Linked DNA regions of Oryzias latipes. The protein of the gene in region 1 interacts with the protein of each later gene in a biochemical or structural test. Links are inferred from orthologs where the notes say so. Each region holds a gene or a part of one and is shown on either strand. Other genes may lie near its edges.

The links.
Region 2: the proteins of nucleolar and coiled-body phosphoprotein 1 (region 1) and kbtbd8 form a complex in vitro, tested with the Homo sapiens proteins (2 studies listed by BioGRID). The link is inferred for Oryzias latipes from reciprocal best matches to the Homo sapiens genes NOLC1 and KBTBD8.

What each region holds. Positions count from the first base shown.
Region 1 is NC_019873.2:26,609,960-26,614,381, reverse strand, and holds the start of nucleolar and coiled-body phosphoprotein 1, read left to right. Parts: upstream 1-1,612; 5' UTR 1,613-1,649; coding exon 1,650-1,760; intron 1,761-1,971; coding exon 1,972-2,027; intron 2,028-3,581; coding exon 3,582-3,730; intron 3,731-3,798; coding exon 3,799-3,905; intron 3,906-3,985; coding exon 3,986-4,100; intron 4,101-4,186; coding exon 4,187-4,402; intron 4,403-4,422. Other genes in the region: mrps6 (28S ribosomal protein S6, mitochondrial), read right to left, coding at 726-1,064. UniProt on the Homo sapiens protein: Nucleolar protein that acts as a regulator of RNA polymerase I by connecting RNA polymerase I with enzymes responsible for ribosomal processing and modification.
Region 2 is NC_019863.2:16,109,885-16,114,273, reverse strand, and holds the start of kbtbd8 (kelch repeat and BTB domain-containing protein 8), read left to right. Parts: upstream 1-1,561; 5' UTR 1,562-1,657; coding exon 1,658-1,673; intron 1,674-3,889; coding exon 3,890-4,097; intron 4,098-4,264; coding exon 4,265-4,389. UniProt on the Homo sapiens protein: Substrate-specific adapter of a BCR (BTB-CUL3-RBX1) E3 ubiquitin ligase complex that acts as a regulator of neural crest specification.

The DNA.
Region 1 (4,422 bases):
ACCTTGGTGTAAAACACATGGTGTGTTACCAAGTAGGAAAATTTCTATAATATATAATATAATAATAATAAAATAATAATATAATAAATATTGATAGATGTTTATTTATGCTACTAGTCGATTTTTGTTGTTTACTTCATCTTGATTTTATTGATTTTATGTCAAATGTGTCTTTCAATTCTTGAAGTTCTTTTCACAAGCCCCTATAATGATACTTCCCCTTCTTGGATTGGAAGAGTATTAAGAAAGTTATGCCACTTTGAAGACTCTCGGCACAGTAATGGAGCTGTTTTTTATGTTAATTCAGGAATACAACATGTGATAACTTTCTTCATTTCTGTCCTACATCCCTTGCGCTATATTGTGGGGTCCAGATGACCCCACTCCCAACATTAACGTGCCTCCAAGGGACGTTAACGTTGGGAGTTGGGTCATCTAGACCCACTAGACAGTGCGCTGAACCTTTTTTTATTCAATGATTTTTGATCTTCACTGGTGTCCATGGATTACATGAAATCTTCTCCACCTTTATCATGGTAGGGAGAACACGTCAATGTAAGGGTGGGGTCATCTGGACCCCACAAGCACAAGGGCTAAGAATCTTCTTTATATCACTGGAAAGGTTCCTCGAAGCTTTTTCCACTAATCTGTATAGTAGATCTAAGTTTCTAAAGGTTTGGAGCTTACAGGAAGTCCGGAAGAACCCCTCAGCCCGTCCAGTGCAGCTACTGCGGGGCCCCGCAGCAGGTGGTGGTGCTGGTGGACACCTGCTCATCCTTCTTCAGCACAGTGGGCCTCACCACGTCCACGTCACGGTGCAGGTGATCCAACAACCCATTGAGGATGCTGGGAGCTGCGTAAAAGTCGACTAGAAAGTAGGAGCCTCGGGAGTGCCTCTGGTTGTGTTTGGTCATCTTGTAGGGCAGGAGTCTTTCTCCCAGGTTCTCCAGGTCTCTCACCACGGCGCCGCGCTCCATCAGAGTCTCCACGGTTCGCCGCAGAGCCGCCGCCGTCTCAGGCCGCTGCATCGCTTTCAGGATCAGGGCGAGCTCGTAGCGAGGCATCGCTTCTGCAGGGTAATCCGCCTGGCTCGAATTTTAGTCCAGCTAAATCAGAAATAATGTAATCCCCATAGAATTCTGGTCACAGACCACCATGTTATGACATGAGGGACAGCAGACAAGGTCGTATGGAAATGACGTCAATATTGTGCGCCACCTCGTACGCAATTTTAAATAAAATAAAACAATGTTAGACTGGATTAATTTAGCCTTTTAAAATGATATAATTCTTTTCATTTAAATATAATAGTAAATTTAAAAAAAACTGACATTTCAAATAAAAAAGTCTAGTTTAAAAATACTTTATATACAGAGCTCCCACTCAGTCCCGGCTTTTAGGAATCTACATTTTTCTATTTTCCCCGAATGGTTAGTTGTATAAATATATATGACTCCTTATAAATTGTTTTTAGAAAATAAAATTGAAAAATATCAGCAACGATCAAATATTATCAAAACATTAGACTTTTTCTCGGTTTTGATAATTCAAGTCGAAGTTGATCATCTCTTTTTCAAGACTCGCGTCTTCGCGAAGCGCATGCGCAATTGGAAGTAGGATTCTTTTTTTCCAGAAGGAGCGTGGTGAAGATGGCGGCGCAGGGCTCAGTGCCCAGTGATCTTTATAAATGCGTTTATTCTTTTCTTTTGGAGAATAAGTTCACCAAAGCGGCGCAGCAGTTCCTGAAACAGACTAAAGTCGTAAGTAGCTCAGGTGTCTGCCTGTTGGTGCTGTCTACTTCTTGGTACTTACTGAGACTGCGCAGTGCCGGTAAAGAGAAAAAATAGCACGTGTTGAGTCGCCAGCACTCACATGTTCGCGATTCTGCGCGTTTTTCATGGCAACAACCGACAGTAGTAACGCTTGAATTGTGTTTTTCAGTCAATCTTTTTCTACTTTTCTCCTTTACAGAACCCTCTGGACAAAAATGAGGAGAGTCTAGAAAATATTTACAACTTCTGGGTCAAGTAAGTTTTGGAATGATATGCCGGACACTTAACCAATAATAATAATTTAAGGTTTAATCATAGCAAACCTTTTCTGAAATATTAAATTATTAAAGGTAATGGAATTTATACATATGACAAGAAAATGCAAACATTTTACAGTAAATTGACTGTAATTGCCTCACTTGTACTAAGAAATTGAGGAGGAAAACATTTTTTTTGGCCTTCAGTGTTTTTTTTTAAGGTCCCCCCCCCCCTGTTCTCTGATTCAAATGTGTCCCAGCAGGTTTTCATCAGTCTAGTTGTACTGACAGTCTTTTCATGGTTTTCCAGCTCATAAGTTCTCTAAATACAACCAGAACCCTTAAAATAAAACATCCCCCCCCAAAAAGTTGATCAGCGATTAATTAGCTGTAATTAAAAATCCATTCATTATTGCTTCATATTTTAATTGAAAGTCTAACTTTGAGGCATGTTGAATGTTGTTTTCTTGCAGCCGGTCGGAGCAAAACGTAAAATAACAGACTCCTGTTGAACTTAACAGCAACCACAAAAGAAGAAAATTTAAAAAAGGGAACAAAACCTCCCAAAAAAACAGGACTAGGGGTTCTGGGATAACATATTACTATGACCAAAGGTGGAAATAGTTTTACTTTTCATGAATTTAGGTGAGGTGAAATGTAGGCAAATCATCTTATGACTCATATTGTTTACAAAAAAAATAACAATTTTCCTACAAATAGAATATTTTCCAAGTATTAATAAAACGTAAAAAAGGAAGTCAAGTAATGTTTCACCTGAAATTACATTAATTAATTAAAGCCTAAAAGCTTCAGCTGTTTTTCTAATTGTGTTGGGCAACAGTAAAAAATCCTCCCAAAGGCGTAAATATGCATTCATAAAACAAACGATGTATTGTTTTTATATTTATATCTAAAAAAACATAGTTGTTTTCATTCTTGCCTCAGCTTTTCAGTGCCGCTTTATGTCAGATTCAAAGACCAAAAAAAAAACAATAGACAAACATGAATACATGAACTATTAAGTGGAAAGCAAGGATGTGTAATAAAAACGTCAAGAGTTTATGAAAAATATAAGAATAAAGCCTTATTATTAGCACAGCGGCGTACTTAACCCAGTCTGTGTGGGATTGTCCAATCAGCTGTGGGGCAGAGCTCCTTGCTGCCTGCGCTGTAATTGAACAAGAAATATGCAAAATACAGAGAAAGCGAACGTCAATAAGGAACGAAAAACCGCAGAAACTCTCCAAAATGATGTCCGTCTGCCTAAAGCAGTTTCTGCCTGCAGAATCGGAACCAAAACCGCGTTATTGGGCTGAAAACCACCCGATCTGGCAACGCTGTCAGCTGGAGGCTTCTCCTTATTCTGCTGTTCCACTGTCACCTCCTGTTTACTGAAAGTGCTTCCATGTCATCCATCTGTCACTTTATTCAAACGTAGCAGAGATGAGGAAGGAACGATGCACGAATGCGTTTATGGCAGTCGTATATAACGAGGCAAAGCTTGGTTAGTGCTTCATAAATCAACTGAATTGACCGTAATTGCCCTGTAAAGGTCACCTGACGCCAAAAAACGGAAACTGCCTCCGACTGAGCCAAACGGTCCGGCTGCCAAGAAGGCAAAAAGCGCAGCAGAAAGCTCCAGCAGTGAAGAGTCGAGCAGCGACGATGAAGATGAAGCACAGCGGAGCAAAACGGCTGCAGGTACTGCAAGAAGAAGCTGAAGCTTTCCCGCCCGTCTCAGGTTTCTTCATGTTTAGTTTTCATTTCAGCCGTCAAAGCTGTGCCGGCTAAAGCTGTGCCGGGCAAAGCTACCAAAGCTGCATCAAGCAGCAGTGAAGACTCCAGTGACTCTGAGGAGGAAAAGGCTCCTGCAAAGGTCAGAGGAACTCACTCATTCAACCTTCCAGCTAGATTTTCACACATTTCGTTCATGTTTGGGTTTTGTAATTCACACAGGCGCCTTTGAAAGCAGCACCTGTGGCTGCAGCTGCAGGCCGGAAGAAGGACAGCAGCTCCAGCAGCGAAGACTCCGACTCTGAAGACGAAGCGCCAGCCAAAGCTCCAGCGCCAAGTTAGTCCCCAACGCTGTGATTGACGTGCTTATCATAAGTCAGGAGGAGTATTTATTCATAAACCTGGTTCGTGTCCAAACGACAGAAGCAGGTCCGGGTGCTGTGACCAAACCCAAAGCTGCCCAGAAGAAGCAGGAGAGCAGCAGCGAAGACTCCTCTGACTCTGAAGAGGAGCCGCCGCCGAAACCCAAGACTGCGGCAAAACCAGCCCCCCCGAAGAAGGCCGCGGCCGCCGCTGAATCCAGCAGCGAGGACTCTTCCTCAGAGGACGAAGCTCCTCCCACTAGAAAGCCTAAAGCAGGTGTGTTATGCTGAGGTTTT
Region 2 (4,389 bases), on another chromosome or scaffold:
TCAGGAAAAACATCCTCATATATCCAGTAATTTTGAGATTTATGAAACACAAATTGAAAAGTAGCCGATCACCACACAAATTATTGATATGCTTTGTTAAAATTCCATAAACTTTACTGAATAAAGTTTGTTTACCTAAAAAATAATATTAATCATTCATCTGTGATTAAAAAAAAAAATATTTTTTGCAGATAATACAAAGTACTTATCTGAGAAATACCACTGAATAAACTCATTAATAACGAATACAGAAGATTTCATCTCTACAGAGTCAGTGACTGTGGTCCTAACAGACTAGTTTGTTAGGGAAGCATTATAATTCTCTCGAAAAGCAGCATTGTGCCATGTTTTAGGATGTCACTTTTATCAAAACATATGACTTGATCAAACACACCACAAATGAAGATGTTGGACAACAAAGATCACAGTACTCCTGCGTTGTATCAACTGTTAGGCATGGTGGTGGAGTGCAGTCAGAGCACATGTGGGGGTTTTTAGCATTAAGGAATAGAAACAACAAACCCATTTGTTCTCTACAGTCACATGTGAGCCCCCAACAAACACACAAAAGTGGACATTGCCCTTCGGCAAAGTAGCTATCAATGATAGTACAGCAAAAACCCCAGGGAACAGCGTGACACAATGCTCCATTAGAAATACAAAATGTATGAACAACACGCAGGACTTTGATGCTCTATAAAATAAAGAAAAGTTCTTTGGATAGCCTCTACAAATTTCCTGACCATGATTTGAGACAAATCTGTTCATGTAATCACAGGAAATAATTTTAACCAAAGTGTTTCTTGGAAAAAAAACCTCAACCACATAACTGCCATTTTAGACCCTTCTGGATTCATTTGTCTCCCAAAGTTTTATAAAGCAAGTTATATGCTTTTTATTTGTAGTTTTTTCAATGTATTTTAGAATCACAAAAGAGAACCCAAAAGAATGTAATGAAATAAGAAAAGTAATGTAAATTTAGGTTTTCTCTTTAATAATAGCCTGTTTCATTTTATAGAATGTTGTTTTTTTTGCTAAAGACAATATTTTGGTAATGATTTTAAAAGAGCAAAACATTTTACTGAATAAAAAATGTTTTCCTTAATCTATTGAGACTCTAGTGAAAATTCACTTTAGATAGATTTAGACTTTCTTATTTTACTCGTAAGAGAACAAAAAACAGATTAGATTTATTAAAGACAATCCAACTCATAATAATAATAAATTAGTATATTGTGGCGACCTGGGGGTTAGCCCTTCAGCCCCTAAGACTCATCGTTACAATATATTTGTGAATTTACTTAAATTATTGTTAGAAATTAAACAAAGAAATAAAGCCTAAAGTCAAATAATGTAAAATCTGCATTTAGCACAGTACTGACACTAAAGGGTTTCCTTTAAGCCTTTTGCTTCTGCAGACCACCCTAAAATCTAATTCCACTTGTTAGGGAATTCCTGCTTTAACTGACTAAGCAGGTTGATTCATTAATTGTGTTGCTGGAAGAATTTACTATTTTTTCTTAGTCTCATCAGAGAATCGAATTGTGATTGGCTTCGAGTGTCATCTCTTAGACGCTGATTGGTTGCTTCTTGTTTCCGGGGCTCCTGTGTGTTCACCCTGACGTTTCTCGGTCTGCCCCGAAACAGACTGGAGAGAATGGCTGCCAGTGGAGGTTAGCAAAGTCTTCATTGTTTTGTGTTTTAACGACTAACAAATAATGCCTTTGAAATTTGCCAGTTGCGTTTTGGGGATGTATTGAAACGGAAGATAACAGATTAGCCGAACATGAAGGCGTGTTTTGCTGTAGTTAGAAGAAGTCTCAGTCGGATCAGCCACTCAAAACTATCGGTTCTCGCCAGACTTGCTAGGTTGCTAATGCTAACTCTCCTGCTAACTTTCGGCAGGTTAGCTCGCTGCTCTCAGCTGATTGTGTAAACACTTGTTTGTGACAAGAGACAGAGAATAGACAAGTTCAATAGAAGATACAGTACAATAAACTATTTCAAAATAAGTTGTGTTGCATGTTTCTATATATCTATAAGTTACTACTTTACATGTAATTACCCCTTTAGCTCGCTATGTTCTAAGTAATGCTTGCTAATATTAGCTTGCAACATACATAGCTGTCTGCTAAAAGTTAAGCTCGCCAGTCTTTTATCTACTAGTATAGCAGCCAATCTCAATCGTTTAAATATGTACATAAACTTAGATTATACATAATAAAATCCTTGTAAAGTCACGCGGATGGTCAAATGTAGTTTTTGCCGGCAGTCGGTCAGCAACCGCAAGAAGCTTCGGTCGGTGAATTTAGCAAGCTAGCTACCACCTGGTGAGACAGTCTTCTATTCATCCACTAAGAGTCTTTGTCCTGTCAAGGAAAAAGGCGTTTCTCAACACGACGAGGTTTTTGTTGAAAATAACAGTGTCCTATTAACGATCGTGAAAACAGAGCCAAAAAAACCGCACTGTAATAATCCAAATGTTGTGATGACAAACATACAAATTCTCTCAACACACGCAGTGTTTGCCCTGCTAACTTTGCAGTTGTTTTTTTGGGGGGCAGGGGCAGAAAAATACGTAAGCAGTCGTGAAACCAGACTGACAATCTAATAATTTAAAGTCACAAGGTAACGTCATCACAACAGTCATTTATATCACAGAAGTAATACAAATTTTACGTTATTTAATTTTTCTGAGGCAAAACAACCAGTAATGAGAATCAACAGCATTAAAAAGTTATTGTACTTAGAGCACAGAGGTTCTTGCTTTTTTTTCAGTAAATCTGTAAAAAAAACATAAACACAAGACTTGATGAGGACAGTTATAATTTCAACAGTTAAGATTAAAGAGGGCAAAGATTTAACATGCCATCCTTTTGTTTTCTTTTTCTAAAAAAACAATTGTTTTATGCTGATTAACCTATACAAGTTGATTTTATTTTGGCTGATGTTATTTGCAGATATTTACGTGCCACCACCAGCACAAAAAGTGATTAAAATTCATCTTAAGATGCACATTGCTGCATTGTCCACATGTATTTTAAGTGCGTCCAAGGTTGCATTTTGTTGTTGGCCACACGTATTTAAAGTTAGACTTGAAGTTAAAGTCCTATCATCTGTCACACACCAAGGTGTGTGAAATGTGTTCTCCGCATTTGGTTTATCCCCTGGAGGAGCGGTGAGATGCAGAAACAGACGCGCTCAGAAACTATTTGGTGGTTTAACCCAACGCTAATCCTAACCTTAACCCTTTCTCTAGGTCCGTGCGGCCAAGAAACAAGTACAGGGCTGGCCGCACATATTTCGAAAAATTACGTGTGAATAGACACTTTTATTTTTGCCATAATGTATTTTAAAAAAAAGATGATGTTAATGATTTTATTTTAAATTGGAGCATTTGCACCCTGAAACACAAATTTCAGCCTCATGTGTTCTGTGACAGCAGATCCAATCGTAAGCCCTACCTTACCCTGCACAGTCTAAATCAAAACAGGCTAACTGTGTGAAGATCAATCGGTGTTTGCGTTTCCCTGTTGATCCATTGTTACTTCACACGGTCACTTTTAAGAACTTGTGCTGTGATCTGTGTTTTAGAAGGAGCTCTTGAAGACATTCAGGATGGACCCTTTGTTTGTACCTCTGTGCAACATAGATGACCTAGCTCTAACCTGTGTGTATGGGGTTTTGCTTCCCTGCAGGTCTTACTAGAAAGCAATATCTCGCATCAAAATCATAGTCAACAAAAAATAAAATCACATTATGGGTGATCGCACAATAAGGGACTGTGGGACCACAAGTTGTTTTGTGAAATTTTTTAGAAAGTGTATTTATGGTGGAAACTACATCACAAAGCATGTGACATTGCTTTTTTAACCTCTTTCATTTGCAGAGGTAGGGAAGCTGTTACAAGTACAAAATGGGACACCTCCTACCACCAACTTCAACGGGGTAGATGCTGTGCACGCCTGCAACATTCTTCAGCAGCTCAAAGCCTTGTATGATGAAGCACAGCTCACAGATATTGTTGTGGAAGTGGACCATGGCAAGACTTTCTCGTGCCACCGGAATGTTCTTGCTGCAATCAGCCCATATTTTAGGTAAAACCATGTCAAATAAAAGCAACAGAAGTTTTCTTTTACAAAGTAGTTGACAAAATAATTATTCCCAACATGCATTTTTCTGTCTTTCTTTTTGAAAATTCATAGATAAAGGGTAGCAATGGCATTGTAACCTCAACTTTTATTTTATTCTCTCCCATTTTTAGGTCCATGTTCACCAGTGGCCTTACAGAGAGCAGTCGGCGTGAAGTCAGAATTGTTGGGGTGGAATCGGAATCCATGCACCTTGTTCTAGACTATGCCTACACATCCAGAGTCACGCTCTCTGAGT